4 linked regions of the Anolis sagrei genome follow. The protein of the gene in region 1 purifies or fractionates together with the protein of each later gene. This does not show direct contact. Links are inferred from orthologs where the notes say so. Each region holds a gene or a part of one and is shown in the gene's direction. Other genes may lie near its edges. The genes, in order: MPHOSPH6, C1D, ZFC3H1 and EXOSC7.

Region 1 (8,263 bases):
AGCGATGGGATGGGATTCAGGAAGGTGTGTCCTCCAAAGAGAACTTCCCTTTAGGTCAACTGGGCGCTTCTTTCATTTTCAGGAGCGATTTCTCCCCGTAATGGAGTGCACTCGAGGCAGCTCCATTTAGAATCATAGAATCATAGAACCAAAGAGTTGGAAGAGACCACATGGGCCATCCAGTCCAACCCCCTGCCAAGAAGCAGGAATATTGCATTCAAATCACCCCTGACAGATGGCCATCCAGCCTCTGTTTAAAAGCTTCCAAAGAAGGAGCCTCCACCACACTCTGGGGCAGAGAGTTCCACTGCTGAACGGCTCTCACAGTCAGGAAGTTCTTCCTCATGTTCAGATGGAATCTCCTCTCTTGTAGTTTGAAGCCATTGTTCCGCGTCCTAGTCTCCAGGGAAGCAGAAAACAAGCTTGCTCCCTCCTCCCTGTGGCTTCCTCTCACATATTTATACATGGCTATCATATCCCCTCTCAGTCTTCTCTTCTTCAGGCTAAACATGCCCAGCTCCTTAAGCCGCTCCTCATAGGGCTTGTTCTCCAGACCTTTTATCATTTTAGTTGCTCTCCTCTGGACACATTCCAGCTTGTCAATATCTCTCTTGAATTGTGGTGCCCAGAACTGGACACAATAATCCAGATGTGGTCTAACCAAAACAGAATAGAGGGGTAGCATTACTTCCCTAGATCTAGACACTATGCTCCTATTGATGCAGGCTAAAATCCCATTGGCTTTTTTTGCCGCCACATCACATTGTTGGCTCATTTCTTTTTGGTTTTCTGCTTGAACAATAAAAAACCTGGCTTTGCTTTATGGAGAAGCTGTCTCTTTAAACAGATTGCGCTGTTAAAAATACCAGGTTATATTTCAGCAACTAAATCTGAAAAAGAAAGGAAGAAATGACAGTTTAATCAATCTGCACCTTTCCCTTTGGATAGGAAGAGAGAAAAATCCCGACTGCCTAAAATAACCCATAAACGTTGGGAATCAATCACTCTGCAAAAAGCCTGCAGCATCAATGTTTATTAAAGCCAGGGGAGCCTTGGGTTGGCCTCAGAAATTGCAGGAAACTGTACCCTTCCAGCCGGATCACACTTGTTTCGGTGCTTAACAAATAGACTGTGATGTTTCCCTCTTTGCACTGGTTCGGATTTATCCGTGCTTTGCGAAATGGCTCAAGTTGCGCTTGTGTCCAATTCTGGGCACCACAATTGAAGAGAGATGTTGACAAACTGGAATGTGTCCAGAGGAGGGCGACTAAAATGATCAAGGGTCTGGAGAACCAGCCCTATGAAGAGCGGCTTAAAGAGCTGGGCACGTTTAGCCTGAAGAAGAGAAGGCTGAGAGGAGATATGATAGCCATGAATAAATATGAGAGAGGAAGTCACAGGGATGAGGGAGCAAGCTTGTTTTCTGCTGCCCTGGAGACTAGGACACAGAATAATGGCTTGAAACTACAGGAAAGGAGATTCCATCTGAACTTTAGGAAGAACTTCCTGACTGTGAGAGCTGTTCAGCAATGGAAGTCTCTGCCCCGGAGTGTGGTGGAGGCTCCTTCTTTGGAGATTTTTAAACAGAGGCTGGATGGCCATCTGTCAGGGGTGCTTTGAATGCAATATTCCTGCTTCTTGGCAGGGGGTTGGACTGGATGGCCCATGAGGTCTCTTCCAACTCTATGATTCTATGATTCTAAGTCCTTCTATAGCAGTGTTTCTCAACCTGGGGGTCGGGACCCCTGGGGGGGTTGTGAGGGGGTGTCTGAGGGGTCGCCAAAGACCATCAGAAAACACAGTATTTTTTGTTGGTCATGGGGGTTCTGTGTGGGAAGTTTGGTCCAATTTTATCATTGGTGGGTTTCAGAATGCACTTTGATTGGAGGTGGACTGTAAATCCGAGGAACTACAACTCCCAAATGTCAAGTCTCTTTTCCCCAAACGCCACTAGTGTTCACATTATTGAGCATTCATGCCAATTTTGATCCAGCTCCATCATTGTTTGAGTCCACAGTGTTCTTTGGATGTAGGTGAACTACAACTCCAAAACTCAAGATCAATGTCCACCAAACCCTTCCAGTAATTTCTCTTGGTCATGGGAGCTCTGTGTTCCAAGTTTGGTTCAACTCTATCGTTTGCGGAGTTCAGAATGCTCTTTGATTTTAGGTGAACTATAAATCCCAGCAACCACAACTCCCAAGTGACAAAATAACCCACTCGCCTACCCCCAATATTCAAATTTGGGGGTATCGGGTATTTGTGTCAAATTTGGTCCTGGGAATGAAAATACATTCTGCATATTAGATATTAACACTACGATTCATAACAGTAGCAAAAATACAGTTATGAAGTAGCAACAAAAATAATTTTATTGTTGGGGGTCACCACATGAGGAACTGTATTATTTATTTATTTATTTATTTATTTATGACATTTATATGCCGCCCTTCTCACCCCGAAGGGGACTCAGAGCGGCTTACAAGGTATATATACATACAATATATTATTAACATAGTACAATATCAGTTTTAAATATTGCTATATTGCACTATATCAATTATACTGTAATATTATTAGTAATATATTATGGGGTCGCGGCATTAGGAAGGTTGAGAACCACTGTACTATAAGTTGGCAAACTTGGTTTGGAAAAGAAGGGAATGAGTATTGGTAACTTTGCCAGAGAGAGAACTGGAGAGAGAGAACTAGAGAGAGAACCTGTGCCTTTAAGGCATTTCAATAGGTATAGTTTGTATGTTGTGTTTTCTCATCGGCTTCCCTATGCGGTCAATGGTTCCCTTGATGTATGGCAAGAACACTTTTCCTCTGGGTGGATCTTCATCTTTACTCTCATGGCTTGTTCTTGGTCTTGCAGCTCTTCTGATGTCTGAGGTGGAGTCTCCATTGGCCTGGAGAGCGCAGTTGAGGTGGTTCAGTTCATCTTGGAGGAGGTGGGGTTCGCAGATTCTTTTTGCACGGTCTACCAAGGCTTTAATGGTGCTTCTTTTTTGACTTGGGTGATGGTTGGAGTTTTTATGTAGATATCTATCTGTGTGTGTGGGTTTTCTGTGGACGGTGTGACCCAATTGTTGATCTGGTTTGCGGATGACTAGGACATCTAGAAAAGACAGTCTTCTTTCATTTTCTTTTTCTATAGTGAATTGGATATTTGGGTGGATGCTGTTCAGATGGTCCAGGAACCTGTTGAGTTCTTCTTCTCCGTGGCTCCAAATGGTGAAAGTGTCATCCACATATCTGAACCATATCGTGGGCTTTTTTGTTGCTGTCTCCAGGGCTTGTTTTTCAAAGTGTTCCATGTAGAAATTAGCTATGACCGGGCTGAGAGGGCTCCCCATAGCTACTCCATCTTTCTGTTCGTAGAATTCATTGTTTCACCATTGCCTCACCATCAGCTACTTTCAGTGGGACAATGAAGTCTATGAAGGAAGACTGCCTTTTCAAGATGTCCTAGTCATCCGCAAACCAGATCAACAATTGGGTGTACAGAGAATAACAATTAAGATCCACCCAGAGGAAAAGTGTTCTTGCCATACATCAAGGGAACCACTGACCGCATAGGGAAGCTGATGAGGAAACACAACATACAAACTATCTACAGACCCACCAAGAAAATTCAACAAATGCTACGTTCAGCAAAGGACAAGAAGGATCCTCTCACCTCTGCAGGAGTCTACCGTATACCATGCAGCTGTGGACAAGTCTACATAGGGACCACCAAACGCAGCAATGCCCAAACACGAATCAAGGAACATGAAAGGCACTGCAGACTACTCCAACCAGAGAAATCAGCCATAGCAGAGCACCTGATGAACCAACCTGGACACAGCAGATTATTTGAGAACACAGAAATGCTGGACCACTCCAACAACCACCATGCCAGACTACACAGAGAAGCCATTGAAATCCACAAGCATGTGGACAATTTCAACAGAAAGGAAGAAACCATGAAAATGAACAAAATCTGGCCACCAGTATTAAAAAACTCAAAAATTGCAACAGCAAAACAAGTAAACAGAGTAAACAATCAGGCAAATCAAATCACTCTCAACAAAAGATTCCCCCCAGGCACTTCCAAGCCATTAAATGCTAATCAAGGTGGTCAGTTGAAACATTCACACCTAGCTCCAGCAGACAAAAGTCCTTTGTCTCACCCTGGTATTTCCACAGATATATAAACCCATTTTCCTACTTCCAACAGACCTCACTACCTCTGAGGATGCTTGCCATAGATGCAGGCGAAACGTCAGGAGAAAATGCCTCTAGAACATGCCTCTACAACAACCCAGTGATTCCGGCCATGAAAGCCTTCGACAATACCTTGTAGTTTTGCTGCCTGGACTCAATGCCAAGGAATCTTGGGATTTGGAGTTTGGTGAGCCACCAGCACTCTGTGGTAGCGAAGGCTAAAAGGCCTGTAAAGCTACAACTCCCACAATGTATTGTCGAAGGCATTCATGGCTGGAATCAATAGGTTCTTGTGGGGTTTTTTTGGGCTATATGGCCATATTCTAGAGGCATTTTCTCCTGACGTTTCACCAGCATCTATGGCAAGCATCCTCAGAGGTAGTGAGGTCTGTTTGGAACTAGGACAATGGGTTAATATATCTGTGGAATGACTGGGGTGGGGCAAAGAGCTCTTCTCTGCTGGAGCTGGGTGAGAATGTTTCAACTGACCACCTTCATTAGCAATTGAAGGGAGAATCTTTTGTTGAGAGGTGTGAAGCTGTGCTTGGTTGTTTCCTCTCTGCTGTTTTGCTGTTGTCATTTTTGAGTTTTTTAACTCCCACAATCCTTGAGTCACGGCAGTCAAAGTGCATTAATCCAGCAGTGTAGGGCATGTCTAGTTAAAGCTTATGCGCATGCTCCCTGCCAGGTTCTGAAAGGGCCGGAAGAGCAGCTTCACTGCCTGTAACTGAGCATGCGTACGATTGACGCACCCCGGGCATGCGCAGTCGCAAGAGAGGCGAAGGCGAGTCTGAAGAGACGCCGCGCCGCCACGTGACGAGTCCAGGCGGGCCCTCCACACCTTCTTTCGGCCATGGCTCGCGACGTGAAGAGCAAACTGTCCAAAAACCTTCTCCGCATGAAGGTAATGGGGCGGCGGGAGGGGGAGAAAGAACCGGTTTCATGGCCCTTTCGGGAGTGGGCGGGGTCTAGGCGGCTCTTCCCGAGCGGCTTCGGCAAGCGTCGGCTAGCCCCTCCCACTTCCGAAGCCCTTCGGCCGCAGGAGGCGAGGTGCGGGGAGAGGAGCCGAGTGGTCTCGGGAAGAGTCGCTAGGCCCCTCCCACTTAAAGCCCTACATCAGTGGTTCTCAACCTTCCTAATGCCGTGACCCCTTAATACAGTCCCTCATGTTGTGGTGACCCCCAACCATAATATTGTTTTCAATGCTACTTCGTAACAATCATTTTACTACTGTTATAAATCATAATGTAAATATCAGATATGCAGGGTGCATTTTCATTCACTGGACCAAACTGGCCACAAATACCCAATACACCCAAATGTGAATGCTAGTAAGGTTGGGGGAGGATTGATTTTGTAATTTGGGAGTTGTGTTGTTGTTCATTCGTTCAGTCGTCTCCGACTCTTTGTGACCTCATGGACCAGCCCACGCCAGAAACAGACATAGAATCATAAAAACAGACATAGAATAATAGAATCAAAGAGTTGGAAGAGACCTCATGGGCCATCCAGTCCAACCCCCTGCCAAGAAGCAGGAATATTGCATTCAAATCACCCCTGACAGATGGCCATCCAGTCTCTGTTTAAAAGCTTCCAAAGAAGGAGCCTCCACCACACTCCGGGGCAGAGAGTTCCACTGCTGAACAGCTCTCACAGTCAGGAAGTTCTTCCTCGTGTTCAGATGGACTCTCCTTTCTTGTAGTTTGAAGCCATTGTTCCGCGTCCTAGTCTCCAGGGAAGCAGAAAACAAGCTTGCTCCCTCCTCCCTGTGGCTTCCTCTCACATATTTATACATGGCTATCATATCTGCTCTCAGCCTTCTCTTCTTCAGGCTAAACATGCCCAGCTCCTTAAGCCGCTCCTCATAGGGCTTGTTCTCCAGACCCTTGATCATTTTAGTTGCCCTCCTCTGGACACATTCCAGCTTGTCAATATCTCTCTTGAATTGTGGTGCCCAGAATTGGACACAATATTCCAGGTGTGGTCTAACCAAAGCAGAATAGAGGGGTAGCATGACTTCCCTAGATCTAGACACTATGCTCCTATTGATGCAGGCCAAAATCCCATTGGCTTTTTTTGCCGCCGCATCACATTGTTGGCTCATGTTTAACTTGTTGTCCACGAGGACTCCAAGATCTTTTTCACACGTACTGCTCTCAAGCCAGGCATTGTCCCCCATTCTGTATCTTTGCATTTCGTTTTTCCTGCCTAAGTGGAGTACCTTGCATTGGTTCCTGTTGAACTTCATTTTGTTAGTTTTGGCCCATCTCTCTAATCTGTCAAGATCGTTTTGAATCCTGCTCCTGTCCTCTAGAGTATTGGCTAAGGTAAAGGTAAAGGTAGTCCCCTGACATTAAGTCCAGTCATGTCTGGCTCTGGGGTGCGGTGCTCATCTCCATTTCTAAGCCGAAGAGCCAGCGTTGTCCGTAGACACCTCCAAGGTCTTGTGGCCAGCATGACTGCATGGAGCGCCGTTACCTTCCCGCCGGAGCGGTACCTATTGATCTACTCACATTTGCATGTTTTCGAACTGCTAGGTTGGCAGAAGCTAGGGCTGACAGCGGAAGCTCACGCCGCTCCCCGGAATCAAACCTGCGACCTTTCGATCAACAAGCTCAGCAGCTCAGTGCTTTAACCCACTGCACCACCGGGGGCACCAGAGTATTGGCTATCCCTCCCAATTTGGTGTCGTCTGCAAACTTGATGATCCTGCCTTCTAGCCCTTCATCTAAGTCATTAATAAAGATGTTGAACAGGACCGGGCCCAGGACAGAACCCTGCTGATGGCACTCCACTTGTCACTTCTTTCCAGGATGAAGAGGAAGCATTGGTGAGCACCCTTTGGGTTCGTCCATTTAACCAATTACAGATCCACCTCACTGTAGTTTTGCCTAGCCCACATTGGACTAGTTTGTTTGCCAGAAGGTCATGGGGGACCTTGTTGAAGGCCTTACTGAAATCCAGGTACGCTACATCCACAGCATTCCCCGCATCTATCCAGCTTGTAACTCTATCGAAAAAAGAGATCAGATTAGTCTGGCATGACTTGTTTTTGATAAATCCATGTTGACTATTAGCGATGACCGCATTTGTTTCTAAGTGTTTGCAGACCACTTCCTTAACAATCTTTTCCAGAATCTTGCCTGGTATCGACGTGAGGCTGACTGGACGGTAATTGTTTGGGTCATCCTTTTTCATCATCATCATCATGTTCCTCATGGGACATACTTCTTACCAGCACAATCAAATTCTCCTCTTCCTTTACATTTTAGCTTAAGATGTTTACTTCAGACCAAAGGTCGTCCTTGTTTTAATTGGAACTAAAGGTCGTTCTTATTTTGGCCAAGTTTTGCCTCCACTTCCAATGGCAGGACCTGCCAATGTGCTAATGTTACTTGTGGTTTCCTCGTCTCATTTAATTTCTCCCTCTCTGCTCCAACCCATCAGCGTAGTCACGTGGAGATGGTCCAGCGAGAGATATTAACAAGAGCCCTGACCTCACCATTGCCCTTGGATTTGCAAATCCGGTGCTGAGCCCAAAGTGGAATTAGTCTCGGCTCGGCGGTTAATGGACTCCGTTCCTGTCCTATAATGTAACACATCACTCAGTGGAAGAACGCAGTGGCGAGATTGATGATCGCTCCGTTTTCTCAGAGAACAACATCTGAGTCGAGATTGCCATTAATTTTTTAAAATATAAATATTCATTAAATATGTATAACTCAATATCGTCGGGCCTTCATGGTTTGTTTGCTCCGGTTTTGCATTAGCGCCATTCTCTTTGTATCTCCATCTTTCAGGATGCGGCGCCTTTGAGGCACATGCAGAGCAAAATGCTCCTTTCTCTCTTTTCCGTCCATTTCCTCTCCAAACCCGAGGATTGAAAGCAGTTCTTTGTGATTGAGGGCGAAGGCTCGCTGTCTTTGCTTGGAAGTAAATCCCACTTGTTCAGGATCTTCATTTGGAAGTGAATTTGACTGTCTTTGGTCAGTGACGTTTCTTAGTGCCCATCTCTGATGTTTCCACACAAAGCAGGATAATTTTATTAGATTTG
Region 2 (7,595 bases), on another chromosome or scaffold:
TTGGGAGGTGTTAGCTGGCCCTGATTTATTCTTGACTGGATTTCCCTGCTTTTTGAGTCTTGATCTTTATTTACTGTTCTGATTTTAGAGTGTTTTAATGCTCTAAAATCAGAACAGTAAATAAATAAAATGACATTCTGGCTAGTTTTTGATTAATTTTCTTGTGTATCAGTTCACTTCTCAATCTGTGGGTCTTGATCTCAAATTATATATATATATATATATATATATATATATATATATATATATATTTATATACCGCCCTATTTTCCACATATGCAAAATAATACAAAAACATACTATATAAATCAAAAACATAGACATAAACTGTTAACACAACATATACATTAAAATCAATTTAAAACCAGTTACGCTCTCTTCTTCATGGAAGGTAAGCTGCCAGGGGCCTGGACTATTAGCTCAATGTTGGGATCATGAGAAATTTGGTGACAATAAAAGGCTTCTGAACCATCCATTTAGACAAATCCGTTAGCAGCAACACAAAATATTTACAGTGGACTGTACTCCACAAAAAGAAAAACCTGCCAGTTTAGCAAGCCTTGCAAATGCTGACTTATCAGTTAATGTTTGATTTTTATACTTATTTTATATACTTTTATACTTGGGGTCATGTAAAAATTTATTGGGTGAAAAGAAATCACGAGTGAAAAAAGTTTTTTAAAAAGAGCTCAGTGACAGAACTAATCAAACTCTTAAATCAAGGTATCACTGTACAGGCAACTTCTTTTGATTTGTGCTAAGTCTCATTATCTCATTGTTGATCTTCCTCTCTTTCCTGCTTTTTTAAAAAAGAAAAAAAGAGAGAAAATGCTTTAATCAGAAAGCACCGTATAATCATTGGGGGGAAAAAATAACCCTAAAGCAAAATTGTGCTTATTTTATTCTGTTTACTTTTGCATTTAAATTTTGATGAGAAACACTCTTTCATAAAAGGGGTGGAGAGAGGTCATTGGGAGATAGAGGATCTTTCTAATCTAATTAAACCAAGAGGAAATACAGTCATTCGACTCAAAAGTTAAAAGGAGGTCATGAAGGCAGGCAGTTTTCTGCACTCTTTGATTATAGTGCAGTATTATATAGATATTGTCTGCAAAATAGAAATGTTAGCCTCTCAGTGTGGCATGCAGATCCTCTCCCTTTCTGATCATCACATGTTAAACTACTGTGTCATTTTCTCTTCTCTCGTCTTCCTTCTCAGTATTTGGTACTGAGAAGTACCTGGCACTGAGAAGCTGTGTGTAATGATCTGTACACACAAACTTCGTGTGTTGCTCTTTTCTTGGAAAAGTCACTGTTTTGGACTGCAGCTCCAGAATCCACAAGCAGGCATCCCAAACTAAAGTTCCCAAGTTCTGGTTTTGGATGGTATTATTCTAGCAACTAGTCTCACAATTAGTCTCACTATTCATTCAACCAGAGACACGCTACCCTTAGCTGTAGCTGCTTTTGAAAGCATGGAGAAATATATTTAGATGTCATCAGCATATGTTAGAGACCCTAAATTGGGTCTTCTTAGGTCCACATCATGGGAACACGTAAGGAAGGAGACAGTCCCCAAAAAAGATCAAAAAACAAGGTTTATTTTAGTTTCTTCATGAAGAAGACGGACAGCCTGGCAGCATACGCAGATGCCACCCTTCAAGTGACTGCCACGCTCCCTTGGCTTTTGTACACCGTTATATAACCTCAAGTAAACAAGAACATGTTTTTTGGTCATGGAAAGTATTCTCTTTCTAGCCCCTCTCCCTTGACCTTTTGATGGAAAGTACCTTCTTGTACCTGCAAACACTGTGCTTAACCACAACCTTTGGCTTAACCACAACACAACTACTGCCTATGTAGGTTTGAACTTTGTATGAACTCTACATGTCACATCTTGTTTCTTAAAAACATTTTCTTCCGTGTTGCTCTTTTTCTACAGAGAAACGGTATATTTCTCTTTTGCTGTTAATTTCATGCAAAGCCCCTTGCTTAGCATTTGGAAATTTTGCTCAAAGACCCTTTCACATACAGATAACACCCTGTCACATGCCCATGGATGATTTCTCTCAACAGTTTCATGTAAATATCAAAAAGCATTGGGGATAGAATGGCACCTTGTTGGATGCCACATAAAAGCGCCTTTTTTGAGGAGCAACTATCCCAAGCACCACTATCTGGAACTTGTCTGAGAGGCATGAGTGGAACCACTGCAGCACTGTGCCTCCGATTTATTTATCGTATCAGAAGTGAACCAAGGGTACAGTTGTACTAAAAGGTAAAGGTTTTGCCCTGACATTAAGTCCAGTCATGTCCGGCTCTGGGGGTTGGTGGTCATCTCCATTTCTAAACCAAAGAGCTAGTGTTGTCTGTAGAAACCTCCAAGATCATGTGGCCGGCATGACTGCATGGAGCGCCGTTATGTTCCCGCCAAAGTGGTACTTATTGATCTATTCACATTCGCAAGTTTTCGAACTGCTAGGTTGACAGAAGCTGGAACTAGCAGTGGGAGCTCACGTCGCTCCCCGGATTCGAACCTGCAACCTTTCAGACAGAAAGTTCAGTAGCTCAGTGTGCCACCCACTGTGCCACCAGGGGCTCCATTTAATACGGTTGTAATGTATTTAAAAAAATAAGTTTAAAAACTTGGCATTATATTAAATGCTTGTTGACCAGTAGCTGTCCACTTGGGAGTGCCTCTGGCATTGCTGTAAGGAGGTCCTCCATTGTGCATGTGCCTCCAATACCTTATAACATGACAAATGGGAGAAAACAAGTGACAAAAATTATCAGAGAACATTATCTGCCATTTATGAATAAAAACATCTGCAATCAAGATGGCATCAGTCTTAGTGGGACCCAAGAAATAACACCAGGGTCTATCACACTAGAGCTGAAAGAGTAGGACAAGTGGATGCATGCCTCCACAACCTTGTGGTTGCCTTCTTCCTACAGAATTCTGGGGTTTGTAGTTTAGTGAGATCCAGGGCCTTCAAATGCTCTCTGGCTGAGCATTTTAAGGCCTCCTCTCTAAACTACAAGTCCCAGAATCCTTCAGAAGGCAGCCACAGGGTTCAGAAGGCATCCCCCCACAGATGGGATGCAGCCTCTTTGCCTATTTCTCCATTATCCAGCGGATATTGGCAATCTGGTCTCTCGTTCCTCTGCCTTTTCTGAACCCAGTTTGTACATCTGGCAACTCTCTCTCCATGTACTTCTGGAGTCTTCCTTGCAGGATCTTGAGCATTACCTTACTGGCATGAGAAATAAGGGCCACTGTATGGAAGTTTGAGCAGTCTTTCGCATTTCCCTTTTTTGGTAGAATCATAGAGTTGGAAGAGACCTCATGGGCCATCCAGTCCAACCCCCTGCCAAGAAGCAGGAATATTGCATTCAAATCACCCGACAGATGGCCATCCAGCCTCTGTTTAAAAGCTTCCAAAGAAGGAGCCTCCACCACACTCCGGGGCAGAGAGTTCCACTGCTGAACGGCTCTCACAGTCAGGAAGTTCTTCCTCGTGTTCAGATGGAATCTCCTCTCTTGTAGTTTGAAGCCATTGTTCTGCGTCCTAGTCTCCAGGGAAGCAGAAAACAAGCTTGCTCCCTCCTCCCTGTGGCTTCCTCTCACATATTTATACATGGCTATCATATCTCCTCTCATCCTTCTCTTCTTCAGGCTAAACATGCCCAGCTCCTTAAGCCGCTCCTCATAGGGCTTGTTCTCCAGACCCTTGATCATTTTAGTCGCCCTCCTCTGGACACATTCCAGCTTGTCAATATCTCTCTTGAATTGTGGTGTCCAGAATTGGACACAATATTCCAGGTGTGGTCTAACCAAAGCGGAATAGAGGGGTAGCATTACTTCCCTAGATGTAGACACTATGCTTCTATTGATGCAGGCCAAAATCCCATTGGCTTTTTCACACGTACTGCTCCCAAGCCAGGCATTGTCCCCCATTCTGTATCTTTGCATTTCGTTTTTTCCTGCCAAAGTGGAGTATCTTGCATTTGTCACTGTTGAACTTCGTTTTGTTAGTTTTGGGGATATAAGTTGATTTTTTCCAGTCTGATGGCCATTCTTGAAGAGAACCATAGGCTTGGTTATAGATAGGATTGGAACCCTTTCTCCCATTTGAAGGCCTTCCCTTGAACCCAAACCCCTCAGACACGGTGGAGAAAGCGCCAAGGGAAAGGAATGGACAACAATAGGCCTTCCTGTCTGCTGAGGCCCTGCGAGGAAGGAAGCGCCTCCGCGTACGTCATTCTGGCCACGCCCCTTACGTTAGCCACGCCCCCTCACGTTCGCTCTCCTCCACGCCACCGGAAGGAAGGTAGGAAGCCTCTGGGCAGAAAGGAAGGAAGGAAGAGAGAGGGCGCAGGTTAGTTGATGCTTCTCTCTTTTGGATGGGTCTCTGGGGGGAGAAAGCCTTGTTGGGGTCCCAGCTCTTCAGCGACACCGCCCAGCAAGGCAGGCGGGTTATTATTGCTGAATGATCGTCCATCTATTCTGAATGAGCCACTTTTAAATATAAAAACAAAACAGAAACGCAATCCCCTCCATGGTTTCATTGTAACTATGCTGCCATACAAAATCCAGATTATCTACTTTGAACTGGATTAAAAGACAGTGTAGACTCAGATAATCTACATTGCTTTGAACTGGAGTATCTTCTTTATTAATCTGGATTATATGACCTTCCACATGGATGTATAAAATCCAAATTAAACTGAATTATATGGCAGTGTGGATTCAAGGTTCTTCCATGTTGTTGTTCATTCATTCAGTCACTTCCGACTCTTTGTGACCTCATGGACCAGTCCACGCCAGAGCTCCCTGTCAGTCGTCACTTCCCCCAGCTCCTTCAAGATCAGTCCAGTCACTTCAAGGATATCATCCAACCATCTTAGAATCATAGAATCATAGAATTAAAGACTTGGAAGAGACCTCATGGGCCATCCAGTCCAACCCCCTGCCAAGAAGCAGGAATATTGCATTCAAATCACCCCTGACAGATGGCCATCCAGCCTCTGCTTAAAAGCCTCCAAAGAAGGAGCCTCCACCACACTCTGAGGCAGAGAGTTCCAATGCTGAACGGCTCTCACAGTCAGGAAGTTCTTCCTAATGTTCAGATGGAATCTCCTCTCTTGTAGTTTGAAGCCATTGTTCCGCGTCCTAGTCTCCAAGGAAACAGAAAACAAGCTTGCTCCCTCCTCCCTGTGGCTTCCTCTCACATATTTATACATGGCTATCATATCTCCTCTCAGCCTTCTCTTCTTCAGGCCCTTGGTTGGCCCCTCTTCCTTTTTCCTTCCACTTTCCCCAGCATAACTGTCTTCTCTAAGCTTTCCTTCTCATGATGTGGCAGTGTGGATTCAAGGTTCTTCCATACAGCCATATAACTCAAAATATCAAGGCAGACAATGGCAGTGTAGAAGGGGCCTTAATCCTAGGAAAGGGAGCAGAGGATAGATGGCAGGAAGACCCTGCAGGGAGTATATCTCCACTAGAGAATGAATGTATGTTCAGAGGAAGAAGAATAAAATAAAATAAGTAACCTTTAATAACAAGGAGAAAGACATTGATATTTTAGCAGATTTGCCCACAATTCATTCCATTTTCTCATCACAGCTATGCTGAATGAAAGAACTAGCCTGATTGACTTTACAGTTGCAAGGCTACTTAATGCTAATCAAGCTTGCCAATTGCAACATTCACACTTGCTTCAAACAGAAAAGAGTTATTTCTCCCCACTCCCAGACAGTCCACAGATATATACACACTCCACTTGCCTAATTTCCAACAGACCTCTGAACAAATCTCTGAGCGTGCCAGCCACAGATGGAGGTGAAACGGCAGAAAATGCTGCTGAAACATGGCCATACAGCCCGAAAAACTCAAAGCAAGCCAACTGCATTGGAGCTTCAGTGGTCCAATTTTGCAAGATCATGTGGGGGTGTCAGCACTCGCTTGCTTAGTCTTGGGGGAGGGAGCTTGAACCCCCTCTCCCCATATGGTCCATCTAATGCCTCCTAGAAACCCTTTATCAAGATGTAGGGCCCTTCCACACAGCCATATAACCCAGAATATGAAGGCAAAAAATCCTACAATATTTTCCTTCAACTGGGTTACCTGAATCGACACTGCCGTATATACCAGTTCAAAGCAGAAAATGTGGGGTTTTATTTAGCTGTGTGGAAGGGACTGTAGTGTATTTTGCAAGAACGAAGGGAAAGCTCAGCTCTTTGTTTTTTCCCCAGGATTAAAAATAATAATTTTAAAAAGATGCTCGATCAGGCCATCTCATCCAGTGTTCTATTATGATAACAACTTACTAGGGGCCCTTTCACACAGCCATATAACCCAAAATATCAAGGCAGAAAATCCCACAATATCTGCTTTGAACTGAATTATCTTGAGTCCATATAGTCATATATCCCAGTTCAAATTTATTTATTTATTTATTTGGAGATTTTATATACTGACTCTCTCACCTTCAAAGAGGGATTTGGACCGGTTCACAACATGTGTTAACATACAAAAAATATACAATAACAACACAATGCCACTTCATTATACGATTAAAATGTCAGCACCATACACATTAAAACATTATCATCGCAGTTAAAAGAGCAGATATCAAAGCAGATAACTTGGGATTTTATTCAGCTATGTGGAAGGGGCCATGGTATCTCTTCTAGAAAGTCAACAGAGAAGGCTTGGAAACAGCTGTGCTCCCTTTTACCCTCCCTGGCATTAAGTCTTTATCTCAAAGTGGAGATCCCATTTGGCTGTGGAGTTGGATTCAGGATAGCAGAAAAGATTTCTGTTTACCCAAAAGAGGTTTGTTTGTTTGTCCTGAATATATTGGACTAAAATGCTCAAATGAACATACCCAGTGTAGATAGAAGTGACCATATGGTTCTGGGAATCTGGAAATTATAGTAGGAGAAAGGAATTGTCTAAATTTTGCTGGTTTTAGCTGGTTTTTACTATCAGACGATTGCTAGAAAAGGTTTCAAAGGAAGGTCTTTGAGACATGGGATACCATACACAGTGATCTGAGGTTGCTAACTGGGTATGTACAGTTCATGTCAGTCACCTTCAGTTCCATCTCCCAAGGCTCCTCTTTAAACTATATGAAAATGTATCAGATGTTGGACCCCACAATAACAAGAACAACACATTTTAATTCTTACCACCTCTCCCCAAGGCTTCCCACAAGATAAGATTTTTGCAAAGTCTATTGTATTGATCTGTTTTACACAGATGTGATGCCATACATTTCTGAATTGCATGCTATAATGTTCTGCACAGTTGCACGACAGTATAATTTTTACGTTGAGTTTTGGTGGATTGAGAAATATACTCATTCTGACCTTGCTTTTGTATTTCTTGGTATTCTAGAAGTTGATGAGACATTACCTGTCTGATAATTGACAGACATAATGGTAATTCACTGAAATAAAAGGAAACTAGATGTAGAGAGGTCTGGAGTCATTTTCAAGGATAGCTAATCCCCTGGAAAAACTAGTTTAGAGGACAACCTTGAAAGGGAAAAAGCTATATAAATAAAATTTACAGGGAATAGTGTGGT
Region 3 (8,157 bases), on another chromosome or scaffold:
TTTAAACAGAGGGCCAGATCACAGTCCCTCAAACTGTTGGAGGGCCGGATTATAATTTGAATAAAACATGAATGAATTCCTATGCACACTGCACATATCTTATTTGTAGTGCAAAAAAACCCTTAAAAACAATACAATAATTGAAATGAAGAACAATTTAAAATGTATAAATTTATTAGTATTTCAATGGGAAGTGTTGGCCTGCTTTTGGCTGATGAGATAAGGATGTTGTTGTGTCCTTTCAAGTCATTTCAGACTGAGGTTGACCCTGAGCGAGGGCTGGGTAAATGACCTTGGAGGGCCGCATCTGGCCCCTGGGCCTTAGTTTGAGGACCCCTGGCATAGACTGTATAGAGATAGAAAGAATATTAGAAAATACTTTTACCAGTGGTTACCAGGGGAGTGTTGATGTTAGGCAACCATGATGAGAATCCTATGTGGTGAAAATAATCACAGTTGAGGACTTATTTTTGCACACCAGAAATACATGTGGGCTTTTGCACATAAAACAATTATGCACAGAAAATACCATGCAATTTGTGTGCGTTTGTGTAATTTATTTTGCACAGAATGAATCTCAAACTATGATTAGTTTTCAAAACTGTGCAGTTCTCAATTCTTTTGCCACAACACTAAGAAAATGGTAACATTATTTATTCTTGTAACAATGAAGATTTATATCCCTAGTGCTAATAAACTGTTGTCCCTCTGCAAAGGTGATGGGAAGAAATGCAACATAAACAAAAAATCCAGCTACAAATGTAACTATCTGAAAAGTTAGAAACCACATTTTGCTTGTTTTAGCTAAAGGCATAGGTTTGCAATGAACATAAGCCCCTTATAGAGCTTGCCTTGGAACAAAAGTGTATAGGAAAAGTATGTATCAGTTTATGGTTGTATTAAATCTTTTCCAAAGTAATTAAGATCTAAAGAGAGAGGGGGCCCATTTAAACTGACCATATAATGCAGTTCAATTTGCATTACAATAGCAGTGTAGATGGGTCCAGAACTGAACCTAGATAAATTAGTTCTAGACTAGCAGGGCAATTGGTTGACCAATTGGTAGAGAAAGTGCTGCAGGTTTTAAATAAAATAATATGGTTATTATGAACTAGAAATATTTATCTGCATCTTTATAGAAGACCGTGATTACCCTCCCCTTCAACTCTAAAATCTAATGTTGGAAGTGATTACAAAAAGCCAGCATGCTATAGTAGTTTGAGTGTTGGACTATGACTCTGGAGACCAGAATTCAAAATCCACTGCTAGTCCATGAAAACCCACTAAAGAAACACCATCTGAAGAAATCTTACCAAGAAAACATGTCAATTCAGGAATAGTTTGGGTAAAGTAGGCCTTACTACATAACAAATATTAATTGGAGAATATTGCGCGTAGAGAAAACCTGTGTACTATATCTACATATGTGGACTCTAGCAAGGAAAGCCTAGGTCTCTATAACAAGCCTATACAGTTCTAAACAAATTTAAGTCCTTTGAGAAATTTAAGTCCACAAGAGCCATGTTTAAATATGTGAAAGAATGCCACACTGAAGAGGAGGTAAGCTTGTTTTCTGCTGTTCTGGAAACTAGGACACAGAGCAACTGATTCCATTTGCTGTGGGAGAAAATACATCTAAAGATTAGGAAGAACCTCCTGATGGGAACCTTTGAGGCTTGAGATGTTAGACTGCAACTACTAGTATTCCTCATTGTTGGCTGCGCAGGCAAGGATTGCTGGAAGTTGCAGTCTAACAGCATCTGTCTAAGCTTTTTAAAGCCTAGACTGGATGTCCATCTGTCAAGGGTGCTTTTATTGTGTGTTCCTGCATGACAGGGGGTTAGACTATATGGTCCTGGAGTCTCTTACAACCCAATAATAATAATAATAATAATAATAATAATAATAATAATAATAATATACACTGCCACAAATACCATCTTCCTGTGACAAAGAATGGGTGGTATCACAAGCCTGAAAAAGTTTCAGAAAGTCAAACTACTCTGGGACTTCTGAATTCAGACTGCCAGAGTTTTAGAGCACAATACTCCTGACCTCACGATCGTGTTAAAAAACAAAGTATGGATCGTCAATGTTGCAATCCCAGGCGACAGCAGGATTGAAGAGAAACAACTGGAAAAGCTGACACGATATGAGGGTTTAAAGATTGAACTGCAAAGACTTTGGCACAAGTTAATAAATTGGTCCCAGTGTTGATCGGCACACTCGGTGCAGTGTCTAAAGACCTTGGCCTGCATTTAAAAACAATTGGCGCTGACAACATTACCATCTGTCAGCTGCAAGAGCCCACTCTACTCGGATCTGCACGCATTATTTGCTGATACATCAAATAGTCCTAGACACCTGGGAAGTGTCCAACGTGTGATCAATACAAAAGCCAGCATAGTGATTTTGTTTGCTGTGAACTAATCTTTTTGTATATCAAATAATAATAATAATAATAATAATAATAATAATAATAATACACTTTATTTATATCCCACCCTTCTCCCCTAGGGGACTTGGAGTGGATTACAGCATTTACATACATAGGCAAACATTCAGTGCCTTCTTTACAATCATATACAATGAGACATACAAACACAAACCAAGGCAGAGGCTTCTCCTTTCATTTCCGGCTTCTGGAGGCAGTGATCATCTCTGGCTCTGGGGAGGTACTTTTCTCCATTTTCAATCTGAGGAGCTTGAAAATGAGAATTGTCCTGGTTGTGTAACTGGCAAGATTGTTTGGAGCGTCTCTTTGCCTTTTTCTGCCAAAGCAGTACCTTTTTATCTACTCACATTTGCATTTTTTCAGACTGCTAGGTTGGCAGAATCTGGAGCTGACAGACAGGAGCTCACCCCGTCTCATGGATTTGAACTGCCAACCTTCAGGTCAGCAGTTCAGCAGCACAAGGGTTTAACCCATTGCACCACCACAGAGTCCAATTATATGAATAATAATGCCAGTAGGAAAACTGAGGTTGAAAACAGTCACGGCTGTGACTAGCAGTGATGGGAGGCTGCGAACACACATGCAACATGATAAACAAAGCTTTGAAGTTGACCAAGCCACAAGATGCCTGGCAAAAAATGGACTCAAAGGGCACAGAGTCTAGAAATTGTGAGTTTTTCCTTTTTCCATCCACTGAAATGACCCCTTGAGTCAAGACTGCTTTTGTAATGAAGCCCTATCACTTCCCTTACTTATGTTATTATTAGGGACTAGCTGTCCCCTGCCACGCGTTGCTGTGGCCCAGTCTGTTGATCTGGAAAATAAAGTAATGAGAAAGTGTTGGCTCCTAATATATGTAATTTCTTGATGCTTGTGGGTAAACAGTATTTCTTGTTGTTTCTTTGTCAGAGTTGATGTGGAGATTGTGTGGTTTGCCTACTCTGGAAAATGCAACATAGAATTGTCCTTCTTTAGGGGTCCCTTTCAAATCTATGATACTATATCTGTGGTGTGTGTGTGAATCTTATCTATCTATCTATCTATCTATCTATATCTATGGCTGGCTGGCTCTTTGTCAGGAGGATTACGTTTTCTTGCCCCAGGGAGGAGGGAGCAAGCTTGTTTTCTGCTTCCTTGGAGACTAGGACACGGAACAATGGCTTCAAACTACAAGAGAGGAGATTCCATCTGAACATGAGGAAGAACTTCCTGACTGTGAGAGCCGTTCAGCAGTGGAACTCTCTGCCCCAGAGTGTGGTGGAGGCTCCTTCTTTGGAAGCTTTTAAACAGAGGCTAGATGGCCATCTGTCAGGGGTGATTTGAATGCAATATTCCTGCTTCTTGGCAGGGGGTTGGACTGGATGGCCTTAAGTATTTTCTTTTGGTCATGGGGGTTCTGTATGGGAAGATTGCCCCAATTCTGTCGTTTGTGAGTTCCAGAATCCTCTTTAATTGTAGATGAACTGTGAATCCCAGTAACTACAAATCCCAAATTTCAAGGTCTATTTCCCCCAAACTCCATCTGTGTTCATATTTGGGCATATTGAATGCTTGTGCCAAGTTTGGTCCAGATCCATCACTGTTTGAGTCCACAGTGTTCTCTGGATGTAGGTGAACTACAACTCCCAAACTCGAAAGTCAATGCCCACCAAACCCTTTCAGTGTTTTCTGTTGGTCATGGGAGAACTGTGTGCCAAGTTTGGTTCAATTCCATCATTGGTGGAATTCAGAATGCTCTTTGATTGTAGGTGAACTATAAATCCCAGCAACTGCCACTCCCAAATGACAAAATCATTTTTTAAAGTGATGGTCACTCCTTGAGTTAGTAGGTGTCTTGTGGTCAAATTTGGCAGCAATTCGTCAAGTGGTATGTCAGTTATGTTAATCCCACAAATGAAAATTACATTTTTATTTATATAGTTTGGACCTGTAGATACCAAAATGTGTGGCTACTCAAGTCTCATTATATAGCTGCCTTGGATGTTGCTCTGGGAATCTTGTTTGAAATGCTTATTTGTCAAAATGTGCATTTTAGTTATGTTTTGCTTAGTCTATAGTAGGCTTGGGCAAACTTGGGCCCTCCAGGTGTTTTGGACTCCAACTCCCACAATTCCTAGCGGCCTCAGGCCCTTTCCTTTTCCCCGAAAAGGAAAGGGCCTGAGGCCGCTAGGAATTGTGGGAGTTGGAGTCCAAAACACCTGGAGGGCCCAAGTTTGATTTGTACTAATGTTTCACTATTATTTGATGTTGATGTTTAATATGTTGTTATCTGTTCTACGGTTGTTATTGCTCTTGTCGGCCTCGCTTGTATTGTTTGACAAGCGAGCGACCTCTTATGAACCCACTACAGCGGAGTGCGGAGGAACTACACTTCCCGTCATGCCCCTGGGCGCCCCTCGCCTTTATGCTGTTTCTTTCCCCCCGCTTTCGATTCTCTGAGGAAAGAAAGGGGGGGGGGGGGGGGAGAAAGAGGAGCCGAAGCCAAGTCTCGCGAGAGCCGCGAAAGGCGAAGCTGCAGGGTGTTGGTGGCAGCGGTGAGTTGGCCGTCGCTCAACTTCGAGGGGTCTCTGAGGGGAAAGGCCCCGGATTGGAGGAGCGCCGTCCTGGCAAGCGGGCGGCCGCCTTGTTGGGGCCTAGTCAGGCGAGGCGGCTAATGGCGGCTCCGGCGGCTGAGGAGAAGACAGTGGCGGAGGCGGCTGAGGCGGCACCGCCGAAGGACCTTTCGCCGAAGGAGGAAGGCGAGCTGGAGGACGGAGAAATCAGCGACGGCGACGACGACAACAACAGCAGCAGCGGCGGGCCCACCGAGCCCAGAGGCAGAGATGACGGCGCGAAAGGCCCCTACGCCCGGCGCAGGCCTCCTCCGGACCTACGGGGCTCCCCCTTCCTCTCCTCGTCGTCCCGCCGCTTCGCCCACCTCCGCCACCGGCCTCCTCCCGAACTGGGCCACCTCCACGGCCGAGGCGGAGGTGGCGGAGGAGGAGGCTACCGCCCCAAGGAGGCCTTCCGCCCCCACCCGCAACCGCCGCCGCCCTCCTCCGCTTCCTCCTCGGCCTCCTGCTCGCGGCTGCCGCCCGGCCCTCACCCGCACCCCGACGCCGGACCCCGGCTCTCCTTCTGGGAGCGCAGCCACAACGCGCTGGACCGGTTCCGCTTCCGAGGCAGGGCCTACCGGGGCGGGGGCCGCTGGGGCAGGAGCCGAGGGCCCTGCCTCCCTGGAAGGCCCCCCGGAGGAGGAGGAGGGGGATACGGCTGGAGGGAACCCTCGCCTCGGAAATGTATCCTTCGCACAGAGTCACTCGCCTTTGCTCCTCTAGCTTCTGGGCACTTCAACGCTAACAGCCAGGGATTCTGGGATCTGAATCCCAGAACAATGCTTAAACCTTGGGCCCAGGCCCCAACCCCCTACCCCTTAGCTCAATGTTTGCTCCTCTAGCTTCTGGGCACTTCAATGCCCAGAAGCCCGAGCCAGCCTGGCTAACAGCCAGGGATTCTGGGATCTGAAGCCCAGAACACTGCTTCTTAAACCTTGGGCCCAGGCCCCAACCCCTTAGCTCAATGTTGGAAGCACCAAAGGTTCTTCCAGGGCCTTTCCACCCAGCCCATAATAGCAAGGCAGAAAATCCTACATTACCTAAGTGTGGACTCAAATAATCCAGTTCAAAGCAGATATTGTGGGATTTTCTGCCTTGATATTCTGGGATATAGGGCTGTGTGGAAGGGCCCCCCAGACAGGCCCTATATGCCAGGTTATGATCCCAGGCTTTCTGTTTATCCCAGGGCACTTCCACACAGCCCTATATCCCAGAATAGCAAGGCAGAAAATCCCACAGTATCTGCTTTGAACTGGATCATCTGAGTCCACACTTAGTTTGCAATTTTCTGCCTTGGATAATCTGGGATATAGGGCTGTGTGGAAGGGCCCCCAGACAGGCCCCATATGCCAGGATATGATCCCAGGCTTTCTGTTTATCCCGGGGCCCTTCCATACAGCCCTGTATCCCAGAAAATCAAGGCAGGAAATCCCTCAATATCTGCTTTGAACTGGATTATCTGAGTCCACACTCAGATAGTTTGGGATTTTCTGCCTTGGATATTCTGGGATGTAGGACTTTGTGGAAGGTCCCCAGGGCTCACTTCTTCACTCAGCCATGGAAATCCATTGAGTAACTATGAGCAAGTTGCTTTCTCTCAGGGCCCTTCCAGACACGGCTGTCTTCCTGGTTTTCCATTTTAAACTGGATTATATGAGGGCTTTGCGGAAAGGCCCCTTGATTCTCTGGCAGTGCAGACTCGGGGCCCTTCCAGACAGCACTTATATCCCAGGATCTAATCCCAGGCTTTCTATTTAGCCCAAATTCTCTGGCAGTGCAGACTTGGGGCCCTTCCAGATAGACCCATCCCAGGCTTTCTGTTTATCCCAGATTCTCCAGCAGTGCAGACTTGGGACCCTCCCAGACAGACCCTGTATCCCAGGATATGATCCCAGGTTTTCTGTTTTTCCCAGATTCTCTGGCAGTGGGGATTCATATAATCTCGTTTAATGCAGAAAAGCTGCAGTCAAATCCTGGGATATAGGGCCAGTCTGGAAGGGCCTCTAGTGTCTGTTTCAGACATTTACGCAAATCAGTTGTGCAGTGGGCTCTGCACAAGATGCTTCTGTTGTACTCCATAAAAAGGGAAATCAGTCTGTGTTGCTGTGAGTTTTCTAGCCTATATGGCCATGTTCCAGAGGATTCTCAGACCCCTTCCACACAGCTGAATAACATTTCACATTTTATGCTTTGAACTGGAATATATGGCATATATGGAATATATACACTTTCGGTCCAACCTATCTTCAAGACCATATCTCTTTCTATGAACTATCGTGGGCATTAATATCTGCTGGGGAGGCCCTTCTCTCAGTCCCATCACCATCTCAAGCATGGTTGGTGGGGATGAAAGAGAGGGCCTTCTCAGTGGTGGTTCCCCAGCTCTGGAATACCTTCCCTAAAGAAATTAGATTAGCCCCCACTCTTCAGACCTTCCGAGTGAGTCTAAAAACATGGCTCTTCAGATAGGCCTTTGATCCTGAGCAGTCCATGGCCAACATGATGAATCATGATAGTGCTGGTCTGCACTTTGACTGATTGTTATGGCAGATAGTCAGCCCGCAGGTTCCACTGCATTTTAGGAACGTTATAATTTTCATATTTTTATAATTTTACCAGTGAGATTTTATGTGCTGTTGTTTATGCTTATGCCATTGTTTTTAAACTGCATGTGGCACTTCTGTGCGAAGCCCCGAGTCCCTTTGGGGAGATGGTGGGCGGGGTACAAGTAAAGTTTTGTTGTTGTTTTGTTGTTGTTGCTGTTGTTATTATAACCCAGTTCAAAGCAGATATTGTGGGATTTTCTTCCTTGATGGTCTGGGTTATATGGCTTTGTGGAAGGGCCCTCTGTCTTCTGTTTAGCAAGCCATGCAAGTGCTGATCGGTTATCAGGAAATGTTTGATTTTTATACCTAATTTCTATACTTTTGTCATGAAAAAAAATGGGGATATAAAAGGGTTCTGAGTGGAAAAGTTTAAGAAGACTTGACTAAGGCTCCTTTTACATTGTCAGATAATCCAGGTTTTCACAGAAAATCTACTGTATCTGATTTGAACTGGATTATCTGAGTTCACACTACCATATATTCCAGTTCAGAGGAGAAAAGG
Region 4 (8,084 bases), on another chromosome or scaffold:
TGGATGTTGATGAACTACAACTCCAAAATCAAGGTCAATGCCCACCAAACTCTTGTAGTATTTTCTGTTGGTCAGGGGAGTCCTGTGTGCCAAGTTTGGTTCAATCCCATCATTGGCGGTGTCCAGAATGCTCTTTGATTGTAGGTGAACTATACATCCCAGCAACTACAACTCTCAAATGACAAAATCTTATTTTTTTTTTTGAGTGATGGTCACACCTTGTGTTGTGAGACGTTTTGTTGCCAAATTTGGTGTGATTTTGTTCATTGGTTCTTTCGTTTTCGTCATTATGCACAAAGCATCTATATATATACACACACACACACACACAATCTGTCCCCTGCCACACGTTGCTGTGGCCCAGTCTGTGTATATGTGTTTTGTGTGTGCATATATATATATCTGTGTATATATGTGTGTTTGCATAAATATATGTGGGTGTATATATGTGTGTATATATTTATGTATTTGTTTGTTTATAAGTGTACATGCATATTGTGCATGTGTGTATATATTTGTGTATATATGTGTGTCTATATATGTGTGTGTATATATTTGTGTATTTATATGTGTACATGCATATTGTGTATATGTGTGTGCTTGTCTATATGCATATTTGTGTCTATATATGTATGCATGTGGATATGTATATGTGTGCATGTATATATGTATGTGTGTATTTGTGTGTCTATGAGTGTGTGCATGTTGAACACCTGGCGGGGACAAGAGACAGGGCCTTCTCAGTGGTGGCCTCTCGGCTGTGGAACGCCCTTCCTATGGATATTAGATCGGCCCCCTCCCTACTGGCATTCCGGAGGAGAGTGAAGACCTGGCTGTTCGAACAGGCATTCAACTAGGCAGTGCAACTGATTATTGGAACACGGAAAATGGATATGGAGACTGGATTCTGATTTTATTGATGAGACGTGATGGATTTGCTAAATTGATGTATTGATGTTTGATGTTTAATCGCTTTGCTTTTAAATGTCCAATGATTTTCTACTGTGTATATTGGAATTGTTGTTAACCGCTGAGTCGGCTAAGGGCTGAGAAGAGCAGTATACAAGCGAAGTAAATGAATAAATATATGAATGTATGTATATATGGTGTATTTTTTGGGTTTTTAAGTCTGTTCCGCTGGGGTTTTGTGTGTGTGTGTGTGTGTGTGTGTTTATGGGTGATGGGACACTTGTTGGCCTGATAGGTGTCTTGTGTCCAAATTTCGTGTCAATTCGTCCAGTGGTTATGGTTTGGGTTATGTTAATCCCACAAACGAGCATTACATTTTTATTTATATAGATATATGCATACACACACACATATACACACTGTGGATGAGGCCTCTAGAACGGTAAGAAAGGCAAGGCACCCTCTGAGGAAGCTTGCCATAGATGCAGGCGAAACGTCAGGAGAAATGCCTCTAGAACATGGCCATATAGCCCGAAAAAACCCACAAGAACTGAAGAAATTAACTGTTAGTAACTCATTTCTAAATTGGCTTAGAAATGAAATTGCCCCCTTGTGGGCGTGTGCCAGGAATCTACACGGTAGAATGAATGCGGTGTGACTCCACTTCCAACTGCCATAGCATCCTGGGTTGCTGTAATGTGGTGAGGCACCAGCCCTCGTGAGTAGGAGAGGCTATGGAGAGAGACCCTGTCAAGACACAACCCCGAGGATTCCACAGCAGATCAAGAAAGGGGTGAAGGGAGCCCTTGCTTCTCCCTCCTCCTCCTCCTCCCTCCCCTCCCTTCCAGGAAGAGGCGCGCGCGGAAACCTTACCCAGACTGCCGTGAAGGAAGCACCACGCGCTCTGCCGCCGCCGAGGAGGCCGCCTCCACTCCGCCAGGGGCCCGCGCTTCCCTGCCAGGGTCGACCTTCCACCTCCCAGCGCGGCGTTCCATCCGCCCAGCCGGGGAGAGCCCGCCCGCCCGGAGGGAGGGAGGGAGGCGGCGAAGGCTTGGCTCTTCCCTTTCACTCTGACTGCCGCCTCATTCGCGTTCTACACTGAGGGGGAGGAAGCCCGGAAGTGAGCCACGCTGAGGGAGGCGAGGCCAGGGGGCGGGGCCACCGTCGGCGTCGCTCACTTCCGGGCTCCCCCTCCCTCCCTTCACTCTGGCTGGCTTCTGCAGCAACCGCATTGTTGCTATCATGGCGCGGCTCCTGGCTCGCTCCGATTGGCTGCGCGCCCCCACGTGACGTAACCCGACGTGAAACCAACCCTTCCTGGTTACTATTACTTCCCTCGCGGACGCAAACAAAGCAGGAGGCAAAGTTGAGTGAGAAGGAGAAATGTGGAATGAATGCAACGGGGCACCGCTTTGACCACCATGCCTCATTGCTAGGAAGTTCTAGGAGCTGGAATTTTACAATAATAATAATAATAATCAACATCATAGAAGAAGAAAAGTGTTTTTTGAAACAGTTGAGAACCAACTTACTAATAGGTTGTTGTAGGTTGTGCAGGTACAACTGCACCAGGAGCTCCAATTTTGTTTGCTTTGCATTTAATGTTTGTTATAGTCCTGAGTTTCAGGGACTCTGCAGATAGGTGGCTTATTTTGGCTGCAATCATAGGGCAAGCCACCTGTCAATTATAGTTAGGTTCCCTGGTCTCAGGCCCGTAGCCAGGATTTTGTTTGGGGGGGGGGGCTGAGTTTGGTTCGGGGAGGGGGCTGAGTCTGAGTGAAAGAGGGTTTACCCTAGCAAATCTTTTGTATTGTTACCCCAATACCCCCATGCATATGGGATATATTGAGCACGGTGATCAGATCATGATATGAATAATCATAACAGTTTTAATAATGTACCAGTAAGGCCTTCTCGCGGAGCACCATCAGAATTTCAGGAGAGGGGGCTGAAGCCCCCCAAGCCCCCCCCCCCCCCCCCCCCGGCTACATGCCTGCCTGGTCTTGCCCCCTTTTTTGGGTTTTTGAGGGAATAGGAGCCTTTTTGGGTTCAGTCCACACAGAGAAGCTTTCCATGCAGGACATAATACCAAGATCTCCTGTAGAAAGCTTCGTCTTCTATGGCTTGGCTGGGGAGATATACAGCCTACAGCTTGGCCGGGGTTATACAGCCCACAGCTTGGCCGAGGACCATACAGGCTTACAGCTCCTTTGCTGAGAGACTTCAGCCAGCCATCACTGAAACCTGAACTCCTTTTTCCTCTGGAAGTCTACAAAGCTCTGTTTGGTAAAGGTCACTCGCGGAAGCCAGAAGCAGTTGGTACCGGGTGCAGGGGTTCCACGCCAACAGAGATAAAGACAGACTGCCCAGATTAGAAGTTAAGGATTTCCCAATTTGTTAAAATACAGTTTATGAAGATATTGCCTGTTCCCTGTGGACAAGATTGAGAGCCAATAGACTGTTAAGAAAGCCTTGAAGTACCTGTTTGTTTTCATCAATAATAAAGAACTTTATTGAACCTTTAAGCAATCTGAAGACTCTGTTTTAAGGAAATCCAAGGGCCTTTTAATCTGAGGCAGCCCCGGTTTCCCGTTGGGCACACGGAATTTATGTCCTGTCTACAGTCTTATGCACAGGCCCAGCGTGCAATAGCACAGTAGGTCTTTAAACTTACTTGCCCAATGACGCACAGTACTCACATCAACACAATCACCATAAACAGCTTGCATTCTCTGATTAATCTCCATTGGGGTGACACCTTCTGCTGTCAAGAATTCAATGACTGCATGTTGCTTAAGTTGCATTGACTGACCATCTGCGCAGGGTTCCGTACTTCTCACAACTGTTCAATGCTAAGGCTTCCTGCCAAAATGGAACTATAGAGGACAGTCTACTGAACAAGCCAGTATCTGCCGCATACACGTACTGCCATCTGTTGAGGAGTTATGAAGGTGGAGGCATTACTTTTCATTCAGAATAGAATAATACCAAAATGTTAAAGAATAGTTGGGTGTCATTAGTATGCTCATACAGAGCTCTAAATCTGACAACGTTTTACAGCAGTTTTACAGACCTGTTACAATCCTAGAATGCTAACTCTAGAATCATCAAAATACACAACATCTACTCAAAACGGATGCTGCATACAAAGCAGTGACAACACCTATTCACAATATACATGTGCCATTATGAACAAATTAAGTTTTCCCAGTTGTTAGTTGTAACTCATTCATTCAGGCCAATCAGTTAGAATCTTACTGCATACTTCACTGACAGTTCTCTTGAAAACAGTGGGACTTATTTTGGGGGCAAATGTATACTTTTAAAAAAACATGAGTATAATCTCACATCTCATTCATGCACAATATGCATGCTATATATATATTGCTTATAACACAATTCTATTAAAAAGGAGACCAAGGCATGTAAGCCACCATCATGTCTGTATAATTTCTGAAAGTATGCATCTTTGCATTTTGTACATTTTTATATTGTTCTTTGACGTGGTTTTCCAAAAGGGCTCTGAGCATGAAGCAAGAAATACAGCCACCCCTCCACATTCGTTGGGGTTATTTAGGGTACTGATTCAGAAAATTGCAATGGATAGACATCAGCTCTATTTCCTTAGATATTGTCATCATGATTTTCTATAGGTGAGCAGATGGAGACTGGCATGTGGCATTTGTTCTGTATCTCAAACACTATAATGGATAGGGGGAAACTAGTACCATTCTTGAAATCAGCAGGTCAAATATACCCAGAAACAGGACTAACATTTGAGGCACCGAGTGAGTGTCGGCCAGTCATCAAATCTGCAAAAGTCAAAACTGCAAATGTGGAGAGACAGTACAGAGTGGACCCTTCTTATGTTGAAGTTGAGCTTGCAGGCCCGTAAGGGCTGTTAGGAATTATGGGAGTTGAAGTCCAAAACACCTGGAGGGCCGAAGTTTGCCCATGCCTGATCTAGTGCCATCACTCCCTTCCTAGGAAGGACTGCAGCAGAGGCGGGAAATTCCTAGGCGACATACAACGCAGCTCTGATCAGCCCTCTCTGTCTGGAACGCGGGAGTAAGGATGAATCACTCAGGGCGATGACGCAGGAAAATCGCGCCCACGCGCCAGCAGAGTACAGGGTTCGGGGCCTTGCGTCATTAGAAGGCGCAGTGAAAGCAGTAGGCGGGCAGACTGGGGGCGTTCTGAGGCTGCGCGGAAGGCTGGCTCTTGCCTCACCATGGCTTCGGTGGTGCTGAGCGAAGCGGAGAAAGTGTATATCGTTCACGGCGTCCAGGTAACGGCCGCGGGGAGGAGGCAGGGCCGGGGAAGGCGTCCCTCGCCTACTTCAGCGTTTAAACTGACTGCCCGTCAGGCCGCTTCATAACTGAAAGTGTCAGAGCATGTGCAGAGTGCATTTTCCTCTCTGCTGGTTGCGTATTCACACTCCTATGCTTATTTTTAAAGCCCATTATATGTGTTTCTCTATTGTGAACGAGCTACATACCCTCCTGATGTGCTTCAAGCTGCCTGTCCCTTCTACACTGGCATATAATCCAGATTGTCTGCTTTGAACTGGATTATATGAGTCAGAAGACGCATACTTCTTGGGAGGAGAGCAATGTCCAATCTCGATAAAATAGTAAAGAGTAGAGACATCAGACTGGCAACAAAGATCCGCCTAGTCAAAGCCATGTTATTCCCTTTAGTAACTTACGGATGTGAGAGCTGGACCTTAGGGAAGGCTGAGATGGAAGATAGATGCTTTTGAGCTGTGGTGTTGGAGGAAAGTGCTGAGAGTGCCTTGGACTGCGAGAAGATCCAACCAGTCCATCCTCCAGGAAATAAAGCCCGACTGCTCACTGGAGGGAAAGATACTAGAGACAAAGTTGAAGTACTTTGGCAACATCATGAGGAGACAGCAAAGCCTAGAGAAGACAATTATGCTGGGGAAAGTGGAAGGCAAAAGGAAGAGGGGCCGACCAAGGGCAAGATGGATGGATGGCATCCTTGAAGTGACTGGACTGACCTTGAGGGAGCTGGGGGTGGTAACGGCCGACAGGGAGCTCTGGTGCGGGCTGGTCCATGAGGTCACGAAGAGTCGGAGACGACTGAACGAATGAACAACAACATATGAGTCTACACCAGGGGTCCTCAAACTTTTTAAACAGAGGGCCAGGTCACAGTCCCTCAAACCTGGATGGCCAGATTATAATTAGGGAAAAAATTAGGAAAAAAATGAATGAATTTCTATGCACACTGTCCATATCTCAGCAAGCAAGAGTCCAAAAGTGGCAGGCTCAAACCCAGAACCGCAACGAATGGCTGATACCACATGAGAGACTCTCCCCTGGGCACACAGAAAACTGGGCGACTTGGAAGGCGCTGAACAGACTGCGCTCTGGCACCACGAGATGTTTGTTTTGTTCTGTTAGAAATGTAATACAATGGTCTGGTTGCCCCTGACACAATAAATAAAAATCTTATTTGTAGTGCAAAAACACTTTAAAACAATTATTAAAATGAAGAACAATTTTAACAAATATAAACGTATTAGTATTTCAATGGGAAGAAATGGGGCTACAAAATGGAATCCACGACATGCGAGTGTGGAGAGGAGCAAACCACTGTCCACCTGCTGCAATGCAACCTGAGCCCTGCCACATGCACAATGGAGGACCTCCTTGCGGCAACACCAGAGGCACTCCAAGTGGCCAGATACTGGTCAAAGGACATTTAATCAACTACCAAGCTTGCAAACTCTGTGTTTTTTTTGTTTGTTTTGTTCTGTTAGAAATGTAATACAATGTTCTTGTTGCCCCTGACACGATAAATAAAAATCTTATTTGTAGTGCAAAAACACTTTAAAACAGTTATTAAAATGAAGAACAATTTTAACAAATATAAACGTATTAGTATTTCAATGGGAAGTGTGGGCCTGTTTTTGGCTGATGAGATAGGATTGTTATTGTGTATTTTCAAGTCATGTACTTTCAAGGAGCCCCCGGTGGCACAGTGGGTTAAACCCCTGTGCCAGCAGGACTGAAGACCGACAGGTCACAGGTTCGAATCCAGCGAGAGCGTGGATGAGCTCCCTCTATCAGCTCCAGCTCCTCATGCGTGGACACGAGAGAAGCCTCCGAGAAGGATGGTAAAACATCAAAACATCCAGGCGTCCCCTGGGCAACGTCCTTGCAGACGGCCAATTCTCTCACACCAGAAGCAACTTTCAGTTTCTCAAGTCGCTCATGACACAACAAAAAAAAAGTAGTTTCTGAGCAAGGGCCAGGTAAATGACCTTGGAGGGCCGTATCCGGCCCCCAGGCTTTAGTTTGAAGACCCCTGGTCTACACTGTCATATAATCCAGTTCAAAGCAGATAATTTGGATTTTATATGACAGTGTAGAACAGGCCTCACTGGCAACCCTTTTAAATTTCTTAGGCAAGGAATCCTCGGAGATAGGTTTCCCCCAGTTTCTTCCTCTGTAATATAGCCTACAGCACCTGATATTCAATTATTCATTATTGTTCTCACATCCAAGTACTAAGCAGAGTTGACGTTACTAGTCTCCAAGACCAAACAAGATCTAGTTTTTTATACATCGTGTCAGAAGCAAATAGAGAATACAGTTAAGGTAAAGGTTTCACTTGACATTAACTCTGGGGGGTGGTGTTCATCTCCATTTCTAAACCGAAGAGCCGGCATTGTTCATAGACACCTCCAAGGTCATGTAGCCAGCTTGACTGCATGGAGTGTCGTTACCTTCCTGCTATTGATCTACTCAGATTTGCATGTTTTTGAACTGCTAGGTTGACAGAAGCAGGCCCTAACAGTTGGAGCTCACCCTGCTCCCCAGATTCAAACTGCCAACCTTTTGGTTAGCAAGTGAAGGGGCTCAGCGGTTTAGCCCGCTGCGCCACCAGGGGGCCCAAGAATACAGTTATAATGTATTTTAAAAACCACAAAGTTAAAAACTTGGCATTATGCTAAATTTCCTTTGAGCAGAAGCTGGCCACTTCAGGTGTCTCTGGTGTCACTATAAGAAAGTCCCCCATTGCGCATGTGGCAGGGCTCAGACTGCATTGTAGTACGTGGTTTGTGGTTTGCTCTTTTCCACACTCACATGTTGTGGACTTCACTTTGTAGCCCCACTCCTTAAGCTTAGGTCTGCATCTTGTGGTGC

Evidence for each region.
Region 2: the proteins of MPHOSPH6 (region 1) and C1D purify together in Homo sapiens (co-immunoprecipitation; 3 studies listed by BioGRID and IntAct, counting the BioPlex papers as one, with this or other methods). This does not show direct contact. The link is inferred for Anolis sagrei from reciprocal best matches to the Homo sapiens genes MPHOSPH6 and C1D.
Region 3: the proteins of MPHOSPH6 (region 1) and ZFC3H1 purify together in Homo sapiens (affinity purification with mass spectrometry; 3 studies listed by BioGRID and IntAct, with this or other methods). This does not show direct contact. The link is inferred for Anolis sagrei from reciprocal best matches to the Homo sapiens genes MPHOSPH6 and ZFC3H1.
Region 4: the proteins of MPHOSPH6 (region 1) and EXOSC7 purify together in Homo sapiens (affinity purification with mass spectrometry; 4 studies listed by BioGRID and IntAct, counting the BioPlex papers as one, with this or other methods). This does not show direct contact. The link is inferred for Anolis sagrei from reciprocal best matches to the Homo sapiens genes MPHOSPH6 and EXOSC7.

What each region holds. Positions count from the first base shown.
Region 1 is NC_090028.1:21,294,026-21,302,288, reverse strand, and holds the start of MPHOSPH6 (M-phase phosphoprotein 6), read left to right. Parts: upstream 1-4,969; 5' UTR 4,970-5,062; coding exon 5,063-5,113; intron 5,114-8,263. UniProt on the Homo sapiens protein: RNA-binding protein that associates with the RNA exosome complex. Involved in the 3'-processing of the 7S pre-RNA to the mature 5.8S rRNA and play a role in recruiting the RNA exosome complex to pre-rRNA; this function may include C1D.
Region 2 is NC_090021.1:156,521,144-156,528,738, reverse strand, and holds the start of C1D (nuclear nucleic acid-binding protein C1D), read left to right. Parts: upstream 1-4,278; 5' UTR 4,279-4,331; exon of another isoform or gene 4,332-4,379; intron 4,380-7,595. UniProt on the Homo sapiens protein: Plays a role in the recruitment of the RNA exosome complex to pre-rRNA to mediate the 3'-5' end processing of the 5.8S rRNA; this function may include MPHOSPH6.
Region 3 is NC_090025.1:144,272,480-144,280,636, reverse strand, and holds the start of ZFC3H1 (zinc finger C3H1 domain-containing protein), read left to right. Parts: upstream 1-4,933; 5' UTR 4,934-5,108; coding exon 5,109-5,733; intron 5,734-8,157. UniProt on the Homo sapiens protein: Subunit of the trimeric poly(A) tail exosome targeting (PAXT) complex, a complex that directs a subset of long and polyadenylated poly(A) RNAs for exosomal degradation. The RNA exosome is fundamental for the degradation of RNA in eukaryotic nuclei.
Region 4 is NC_090026.1:77,391,829-77,399,912, forward strand, and holds the start of EXOSC7 (exosome complex component RRP42), read left to right. Parts: upstream 1-5,061; 5' UTR 5,062-5,140; coding exon 5,141-5,197; intron 5,198-8,084. UniProt on the Homo sapiens protein: Non-catalytic component of the RNA exosome complex which has 3'->5' exoribonuclease activity and participates in a multitude of cellular RNA processing and degradation events.